Arabidopsis thaliana: one gene and its partner. The protein of the gene in region 2 interacts with the protein of the main gene of each other region in a pairwise test. Each region holds a gene or a part of one and is shown on either strand. Other genes may lie near its edges.

The links. Proteins that work in one complex are often made in the same cells at the same time.
Region 1: the proteins of AT1G23890 (region 2) and AT1G03070 interact in a protein complementation assay, tested with the Arabidopsis thaliana proteins (one large-scale study listed by BioGRID).

What each region holds. Positions count from the first base shown.
Region 1 is NC_003070.9:728,232-732,073, reverse strand, and holds AT1G03070 (Bax inhibitor-1 family protein), read right to left. Parts: upstream 2,245-3,842; 5' UTR 2,051-2,244; exon of another isoform or gene 1,935-2,050; 5' UTR 1,927-1,934; coding exon 1,659-1,926; intron 1,578-1,658; coding exon 1,464-1,577; intron 1,159-1,463; coding exon 1,001-1,158; intron 899-1,000; coding exon 695-898; 3' UTR 509-694; downstream 1-508. Other genes in the region: NET1D (kinase interacting (KIP1-like) family protein), read left to right, coding at 1-280.
Region 2 is NC_003070.9:8,438,396-8,442,899, forward strand, and holds AT1G23890 (NHL domain-containing protein), read right to left. Parts: upstream 2,472-4,504; 5' UTR 2,409-2,471; coding exon 2,354-2,408; intron 2,270-2,353; coding exon 2,099-2,269; intron 1,783-2,098; coding exon 1,618-1,782; intron 1,487-1,617; coding exon 1,286-1,486; intron 1,201-1,285; coding exon 1,103-1,200; intron 1,022-1,102; coding exon of another isoform or gene 1,018-1,021; coding exon 505-1,017; downstream 1-504. Other genes in the region: AT1G23880 (NHL domain-containing protein), read left to right, coding at 1-241; GAMMA-ADAPTIN 1 (gamma-adaptin 1), read left to right, coding at 2,984-3,015, 3,373-3,675, 3,851-3,992, 4,091-4,264.

The sequences.
Region 1 (3,842 bases), 7.7 Mb from region 2:
TGATGAGAATGAGAGTAGCAGAAGGAGGAGGATATCAGAACAGGCGAGAAGAGGATCAGAGAAGATTGGTAGGTTACAGTTGGAGATACAGAGATTACAGTTTCTGTTACTGAAACTGGAAGGAGATAGAGAGGATCGAGCAAAAGCAAAGATATCGGATAGCAAAACGAGGATTCTTCTTCGGGATTATATCTATAGCGGAGTGAGAGGTGAGCGACGAAAGAGGATTAAAAAGCGGTTTGCGTTTTGTGGGTGCGTGCAACCGCCTCCATCTCCTTGATAGTTAGAACTGTTGTTGCAAGTAAGCTAAATAATGTTCATGTGAATGGAAACGTATTGAAGTTTGATATGAAAGAGAAACACTTTTGCTAATATCTGTTTTTTGCTTTTCCGTAGGGTTTAAAAGAAATTTGTATATTGCTAATAGTTTAAATTCCAAATTTGTTCTACGTTTGCGTTTCAATTTTCAAAGCAGACGTAGCTGTGGTGTGTTTAAACAACAAAATCTACCGTCTCCAAGCCGCAAATTTCAATACTATTCGATTACTTTAAAAGATACACTGCCAGGTTATGTTTTGTACATGAGAATACTACAGAGAAAATAAGTTTCGTTAACAAACAATATTAGAGATTTACACATTTTAAAAACATGATAATAACACTGATCGAGACTTAAAAAAGGAGTAAAGAAGCTTCACTCGGCAGCTCTGAAAATGGTAAGGAGAGCCAAGAAGAGGTTGATAATATCTAAGTAGAGCGAAACTGCTGCCCAAATATACTCATCGTAGCTGTAACGTTTGATGAGATTGTCTGTATCGTAAACTATGTACCCGCAGAATATTATCGCAGCCAAACATCCATAGATCATCACTGAGATCCGTCCCAACGGGAAGAAAATCTGCAAAAAAACAAATAGAACCCAAAGCACCACGATCAGGCTCAGTTTTAAACCTGAATTTCGAATGTTAAACCAAAACAAGCAATTGTAAGGGACAGGAACCTGAATAAGGGCAAAGACCATGAGAACGATGAGAGCACCAAACAAGAATGGACCGAGGAAGTTAAAGTCATATCCTTTCTTTGCTGCCCAAAAGGTGTAGACGGTTAAGGAAAGCACCACTACTGTTGTCAAAATCGCTGCCTCAAGAATCACTTTCCCTGTTCCAACAACAAAGTTCCAAACTCTAATGAATAAATTTATACTCCCAAAACTCTATGGTTCGTTTATCGAATTTGGATTAAAACAATCCAATGTTTCTATGCAACCATGGAACATCAATCTTCAATGAACCAGTTGTATTGAGTATGAGGAAATTCAAACCCAGCTCAAATGTGTTGGAGGTCTCACAGACTAATTTTATATTATATCTTAAGCGTGTGATTTCAAGCAATTAATAAGACCGACCCTTGAAAGGACAGAAACGAATAAAGAGAACTAGAGTGTTTCACAAGGAAAGCCTTACCGCTGGTGAAAGCACATGTTAATCCGACGGCGAAAGCCAAAGCTACCGTGAAAATCCCTAGAAGCAAATAATTCACTGGATGTTTCTGGTGGTAATAGTACAAAGGACACATTACTGCAACAGCAAAACAATAACAAATTAAACCAAAAACCTAAATCAAATAATCATCGAATTAATGATTGATAATTTGGTTACCTATAAGAGGCGTGATGATTAAGACAATCCAGAGAGCGAGACCGGCACTAGTAGTGGCGAAGAACACGGCGATCGGACGGACAAAAACCACCGTGGAGGCGACGGCGATGGTTGCTAAAAGCTGGAATGCGATTATGGAATATACCTTTCTGATGAAACCCCATCGGAGTTCGGGGCTCTCAAGCATAGTCGGATACAGAGATCTCTCACCGCCTTCACGGCCGGTCTCCACGTCATCTTTTCGGTAAGGAAGATTCCACTTATACATTCTAAAAACTGTAAATCGAAGCAATGGATTCTGATCAGACGAATGGGGAAAAAAACGCGGGAAAATTCTATTCCTAGGTTGTACTACGAACCAGAGAAGGAGACGATCGAGAATTAACAAGTACCGGAATTTGTTTCGCCGGAGGAGAAGTTATTTTGTTTGTTTCGTTACGATTTTCCCGAGAAAATGCGAGAAATTTGAGATTTGAAGGTTGAGAGAAAATTAGGATTTTTCAAGTTATAAAAGCAGTTGCGGAGAGAGTAAAGTAGAACGTTCTTGAAGGCACCACGTGGCCGCGTGTGAAGATGAAACGTTAAGTTTGTTGTTAACCGTAAAGACCGGAAGTCTCTAGATGACTCCAAAGGTTTCAAGTATTCTCTTATAAGAATATACCAAAGCTTCCACTACATTATTATTTTTTAACGAAGGACATAAACTATAGCATCATAAATTCATAATGTAAGCAGAATCGTTATATCCTCCGCATCCTCCGCCATGTTCATCACAACCCCCACCGTGATGATCACGAAAGCAACAGTCTTTATCTATTTCCATGTGTCATCGCCGGTAGTGACTGTTCGAGTTTAATTATTCTCCGTCACGAGACAACGATAACAGATGCTACAACAAAATACAGTACCAACGATAACAACCAAACTAACGGTTGCTTACACGTACGACGACAATAATATAAACTTCCATCATTGCTTTTATGTTGTTGTGGAATTTGTTGCGACAACTTTTCCCCTAAATATTCTAAGTTCTGAGCATACAAATTTAGCTCCTCTATCCGTATTTATACTTTTTTTCTCCTTTCATTTTTTTTTTTGTTACTTATGGATTAACTGTTAGCGTAATAATGTGTGGTTTGAGGTGTTTGAAATTAAATATCTTAACATATAGTATGTAACAAAAATTTAATATATGTTAGCATTTTACATTAGTGTGACACATGTTTGAAATTATCAAACAATTTTTAAGATAATAAGAAATAATATATGTGATATATTGTATTAGCAGTATAAAAGAAATATAATAACTTAAATGAAATATGCATAACTACTAACAAAGTAACATATATATATTTCTTTATTTATGATAATTATTAAATAGTAATAATGTTTGAGGTGTGATAATAAATTATCTTAATATATACAAAACCATATGTTTGAGGTGTTGATGACATTTCTAGTTAATCAAAATTTGTGTTACTGTCTCGTCGTCATATATAAGGTTTATGTGGGCCTCATTTGTAAAAGAATTACTTAAAAGTGGGCTTTCACAAAAACATAGGACATGTTTTTAGACTTTTAACCTTTAAAGGTCCATTGGAATTTTTTTGTTGGCAACTCCTATATTAGAACTTAGTCCTAAATGATTATAGTCGTCACATACAAATATTGGTGTTTAGATATGACATGAATCAGACAAATGAAATACTATAATAATTGTTGGAAAATTGTTTTAGAAGCAGAATTCGGACCAAGTTCTATCTTTAATTTTTTTCTGAAAATATATCGTCTCTTTATCATCAGATGTTCTACTTTTGGTTGATGACTATTTACCACCAGTACTATAAGGTTTATTGTTTGTTTAACATACGCGACCTCTGCATTTTGATAGATAGATAAATATATGTTAGAATTTTCTCACAATGACATAGTTATATTTTTAAGAAATTCATATATAAATTAAATATGAATTTAAATATGTTTCGTATTATTATTAAAAAGACATAAAAGTTTTGGTCCAAAAAGTGTTTAAATTTTGCAAAGAGGGGATCACGTTTCGCAATCGTTCAGCAAACCTATACGAACACGTGGCATTCTCGTCCCGTGGGCTCTACTTGCGATTGTAGACGTGAACCTAGAAACTACATTGGCCCTTGTTTTTCTTAATAATTATAATTTAGGTCT
Region 2 (4,504 bases):
CCGTGCCTTGTACAGAAGCTTGGACGCCGAATTCCTCCAGGAGCAGCAACAAGAGAAGCATCAGCAGTATCACCATAGGCATCACTCAACAATCCCATACACTCTTTATGAGCAGAGCAGCGAGAAGACTAATGAGATTGTGTTTGGGCCAGGCCAGGAGCAAGACCAGATGAATACTCATCAGAATATCCACCACAGAGCTCACCAATTTGTGAGTTACCCATATGGATACTATTCATAGACATGAGAAGTTGCTTAATATGATAGTAGTAGTAGAGATTGGGAATTCAGGTATAGTTTTTTAAAATTTGTTGAGAAGGCACAATAGGGATTTGGGTATTTAGATCTCTCTTGTAAGAAAAGTACCAAAGATTAATCATTCTTCCTTGATATAAAGAAAAAAAGATGAGCACTTCAATAAATATTCAAAGATTTTTCAACTCAACCAAACTTTACATTTACAAAAGACACATACTCTCTGATTCATGTGCTTTTAACTGAAACCTACTCAGTAGATGAAGAACCATGAATTACAGTATCTTCTTCAGCCATCTTTGAAAATTCTTCAACATGAACCTTTATAATGTCATCTATGGTTGCATGAGGAAGAGTCTCTTCATTCCTGCAATCTTTGTCATTGTTAGGTTCTTGTTCATCATCAAAGCTTATTAGGTCAATAAGATCATCAGAGGGTTTCAGTGAAAGGGGCGGCTTTGGGTTGCCGCAACCTGGACTCTCGGGATCAGACACAGAGACTGTTTTGTCTAAAATAGCTACATTATTGGGTTGACACATGAAGAAAAGGCTAGATACCATCGAACAAATTAAACTACTTAGGGCGGAATACATGAGGGAAAGGTGAGACACGATCATCATAACTAGTCTACTTAATACTGAATAAACGGTTGATTCAGCAACTCGGTTTCTAATGTAGGAGAAGAAGGTCAGAACTTGTTCCCCCAATTTGGTTAGGAGAAGCTTCCATGTCATGATGAACGAGAGGTGGTTCACTTCTTCCTGTCTATAACGATTTGGTTTAAGAGATTTGATATGTTGATTATACACTAGTATGTAATATGAGGATAGATTAAAAAAAACTTACATGACGGATGACGTAAGGGCGAACAGCAAATCCAATGGCTACCCCGAGAATGCAGGAAAGGACAATCCCTATTGACCAAAGAGAGTATGTCCCCAAATCTGAAACAGTGAAAGAAGAATCGTTGAAGTTTCCAAAGGCATGGTTAGTCAAATCCACAAAAGATTACTTATAGAAAAGACATACTAGAATGAGAGTTTTCGAGGCAATCCTCCTCCTTAAGATTTATCTGGCGAATCATTTCATTTCCATGATCAGAAACAAGCAAACAACATCTTTGAGGAACAAAAGTTATCTCGAAATCGCTAGAGAAAGTAGCATTCTGTGCAGGTCCATCTCTGTGTCCAAATGCCTTTGAGATCCCTCCAGCAATGGTGGTTACAGAACCTACAAAGTCCAGTAAATAAAACATGCATAATCAAAATAAACTAAGTGGCTCTTTCAACAAACTAAGATTAGACAACAACAACAACTAGCATTTATACAAAAGGAATACAAGAAATGGATTAAACAAACACCTGAAGAGCTGATCTTCCGTATAGCTTTATTACTCTTATCAGCAACATAAACATTCCCTTTAGCATCCACAGCAAAACCACGGGGTTTGCTGAACCGGCTGTTACCAGCTTTACCATCTACATGACCCGAACTCCCATCCCCAGCAAACCGGTTTATCACACTATCTGCACAACCACACACACATACTCAAAGTGAGCTCAAACTTCAATTGAAAGAAAGATAAACAAAATTTTCACTTATAGTAAAGTTTAGAACTTTTATTTGCAGGTTGATCGTTTCACACACATACACACACATATTAGTATTGTGGTCCAATTTGAGATTACGGAGAAAGAAAAAATGAAGGTCAAGACTTGCAATCAAAATCAACAAGCTCTAAACATTTACTTATGCATCCATGAATTTACAACTCATATACAAACACAATTATAATGATCCGATTAATAGATGAGACAAAAGAGTGGTTTTGTGGGTGTTTACCAACGGACAAAGGAAAGGAAGTAGTGTAAAATGTACTGCCGGAAGAATCAAGGACGATCAGATTAGAAGATCCTGGTAAAGCATGAATCGTGTATGGATTCAGACCAGACTTATGGCCATCGACCACCGTTGTGACTTCGTACCCTTCTTCTAAAACTATCTTACCACTCACTGTAACAAAATCATGAGGAAAATTAAAAATTCGAATTTTGGGTTGGGAAATTCAACTGAATTAACAGATTTTTGAAAATATACCCAGATTGAAAACGACGAACAAGAAGAGAGACACGGACGAAAATCCCCAAGCCATGTCAAAATCGAGAGGAGAAAGCGACTGTTCTGTGTAACTTGTGTTGTGTTACTTATTTTTGCTGCTTAGCATCTTTAAAGGTTTTAAAAAGATACTAGGGCCTGAGCGATACTATGATGTGTTCAAGTGTAGGGGAGAATTTGTGTAACAACCAATGAAAGAGCGCGTATCATCGACCCTCTCAAATTTGACTAATAAAAACGGCCCAAGTAGGGCCCATTTATGTGTTTAACTATAAAGAAACGGCCCAGTCTATGTTTTTGTTTTGAGAGGATTGCTGGTCGAAACGTTACCGTTTAGGTGGAAATGGAAGTCATGTTTATACAACGCATTTAATTTGGCAATTATGGTTTACGAAGACTGAGAAGAAAAAAACGAGCATCGTCCATCGAGATCCAAATCCTCAGTTTCATTTTCATCTCTCTCTCTCGTATTGATCAGCTACTCGAAACTCCGGTAACGGATTTTCACAATCCCGGCGGCGAAACTCTTCTTCCCGGCTAAGTTTTCATTTTCTTCAGATTCCTCGTAAAGTTGCCGGTGGACCAAGGTCCAACTCTTGAACACCCCAAATCATGAATCCCTTTTCTTCTGGTACTCGTTTAAGGTAAATTGATTCTCTTCTTTCCTTTTTATCGTTTCTGTTTCAGGTTTCTTAGTCGTTGATCAGCTTACAAATGAAATTTGAATATAACATGATGTAATTGAGCTCGTTTTCATTTGAGGATTGAATTTTGTTGATTGGCCTGTTTCGAAGATGAATTTGGTATTGGTGTTTCTGATTCCATTTAGAATTTTGATTTTAGTCTAAGAACATGATCACACTAAGGATTTTTGGTAATCCTTTTGCTTAATTTAATTGAATATTGGATTGGTCATGTTGCTGTTGGGGTTTAATAGTGGAATCAGATCGGATTATTGTATATGGTTCTGAAGTTATAGTGGACATATGAGTATGATTCAGGGACATGATCCGTGCCATAAGAGCATGCAAAACAGCTGCGGAGGAGCGAGCTGTTGTAAGAAAGGAGTGTGCCGATATTCGAGCATTGATTAATGAAGATGACCCGCATGATCGGCACCGGAACCTTGCGAAACTCATGTTTATACACATGCTGGGTTATCCCACACACTTTGGGCAGATGGAGTGCTTGAAGCTAATTGCATCTCCTGGATTTCCAGAGAAGAGGATTGGATATCTAGGGCTAATGTTGCTTCTTGATGAGAGACAAGAAGTGTTGATGCTTGTCACAAATTCGTTAAAACAGTATCCTTACTAATTTCTAGTATTAAATCTTGATACCTTGGCCTTTGAATGGATTCTTCTTCTATGTTAAAAAATACTAGAGAACACTTGATTTTTGATTGCATTGCTGTTATGGGAATTAAGGAGAAAAATATTTAAATAGATTTGTTCCTGTTTAACCTTAAGTCACGTGCAGAGATCTTAATCACTCGAACCAGTATGTTGTAGGACTTGCTCTCTGTGCTTTAGGGAATATTTGTTCAGCAGAAATGGCCCGTGATCTTGCGCCAGAAGTAGAAAGATTAATCCAGTTTCGTGACCCTAATATCCGAAAGAAGGTGAAGTGTTTTCTAATTCATATACAGGGTCTCCTGGAGTTTAGTCGCTTTTTTTTTTTCCTTCATTGCCTTTACCATTTATGTTGTATTATATGCAGGCGGCGCTTTGCTCTACTAGAATAATAAGGAAAGTTCCAGATCTAGCAGAAAACTTCGTAAATGCTGCTGCTTCCTTGCTTAAAGAAAAGCATCATGGGGTTCTTATAACAGGAGTTCAACTTTGTTATGAATTATGCACGATTAATGATGAAGCCCTAGAGTACTTCAGAACGGTAAGTCTATAAATATTATACAGAACACTCTACTTATGCATACAGGAGCATCGACGTAATTTAATTGAATATGCGTACATATGATACTATATTACCTGTATGATGCTTTTGTGTACTATTTTTCTCTTGCAATAAAGTTTGATATCTGTGGTATTCACTTATAAATAGATTACTCTGCTGAAATGAGGCAGACAATCAGGTTGTTATATTGTTTTATCAGACCGTCAGTTTTGACAAACC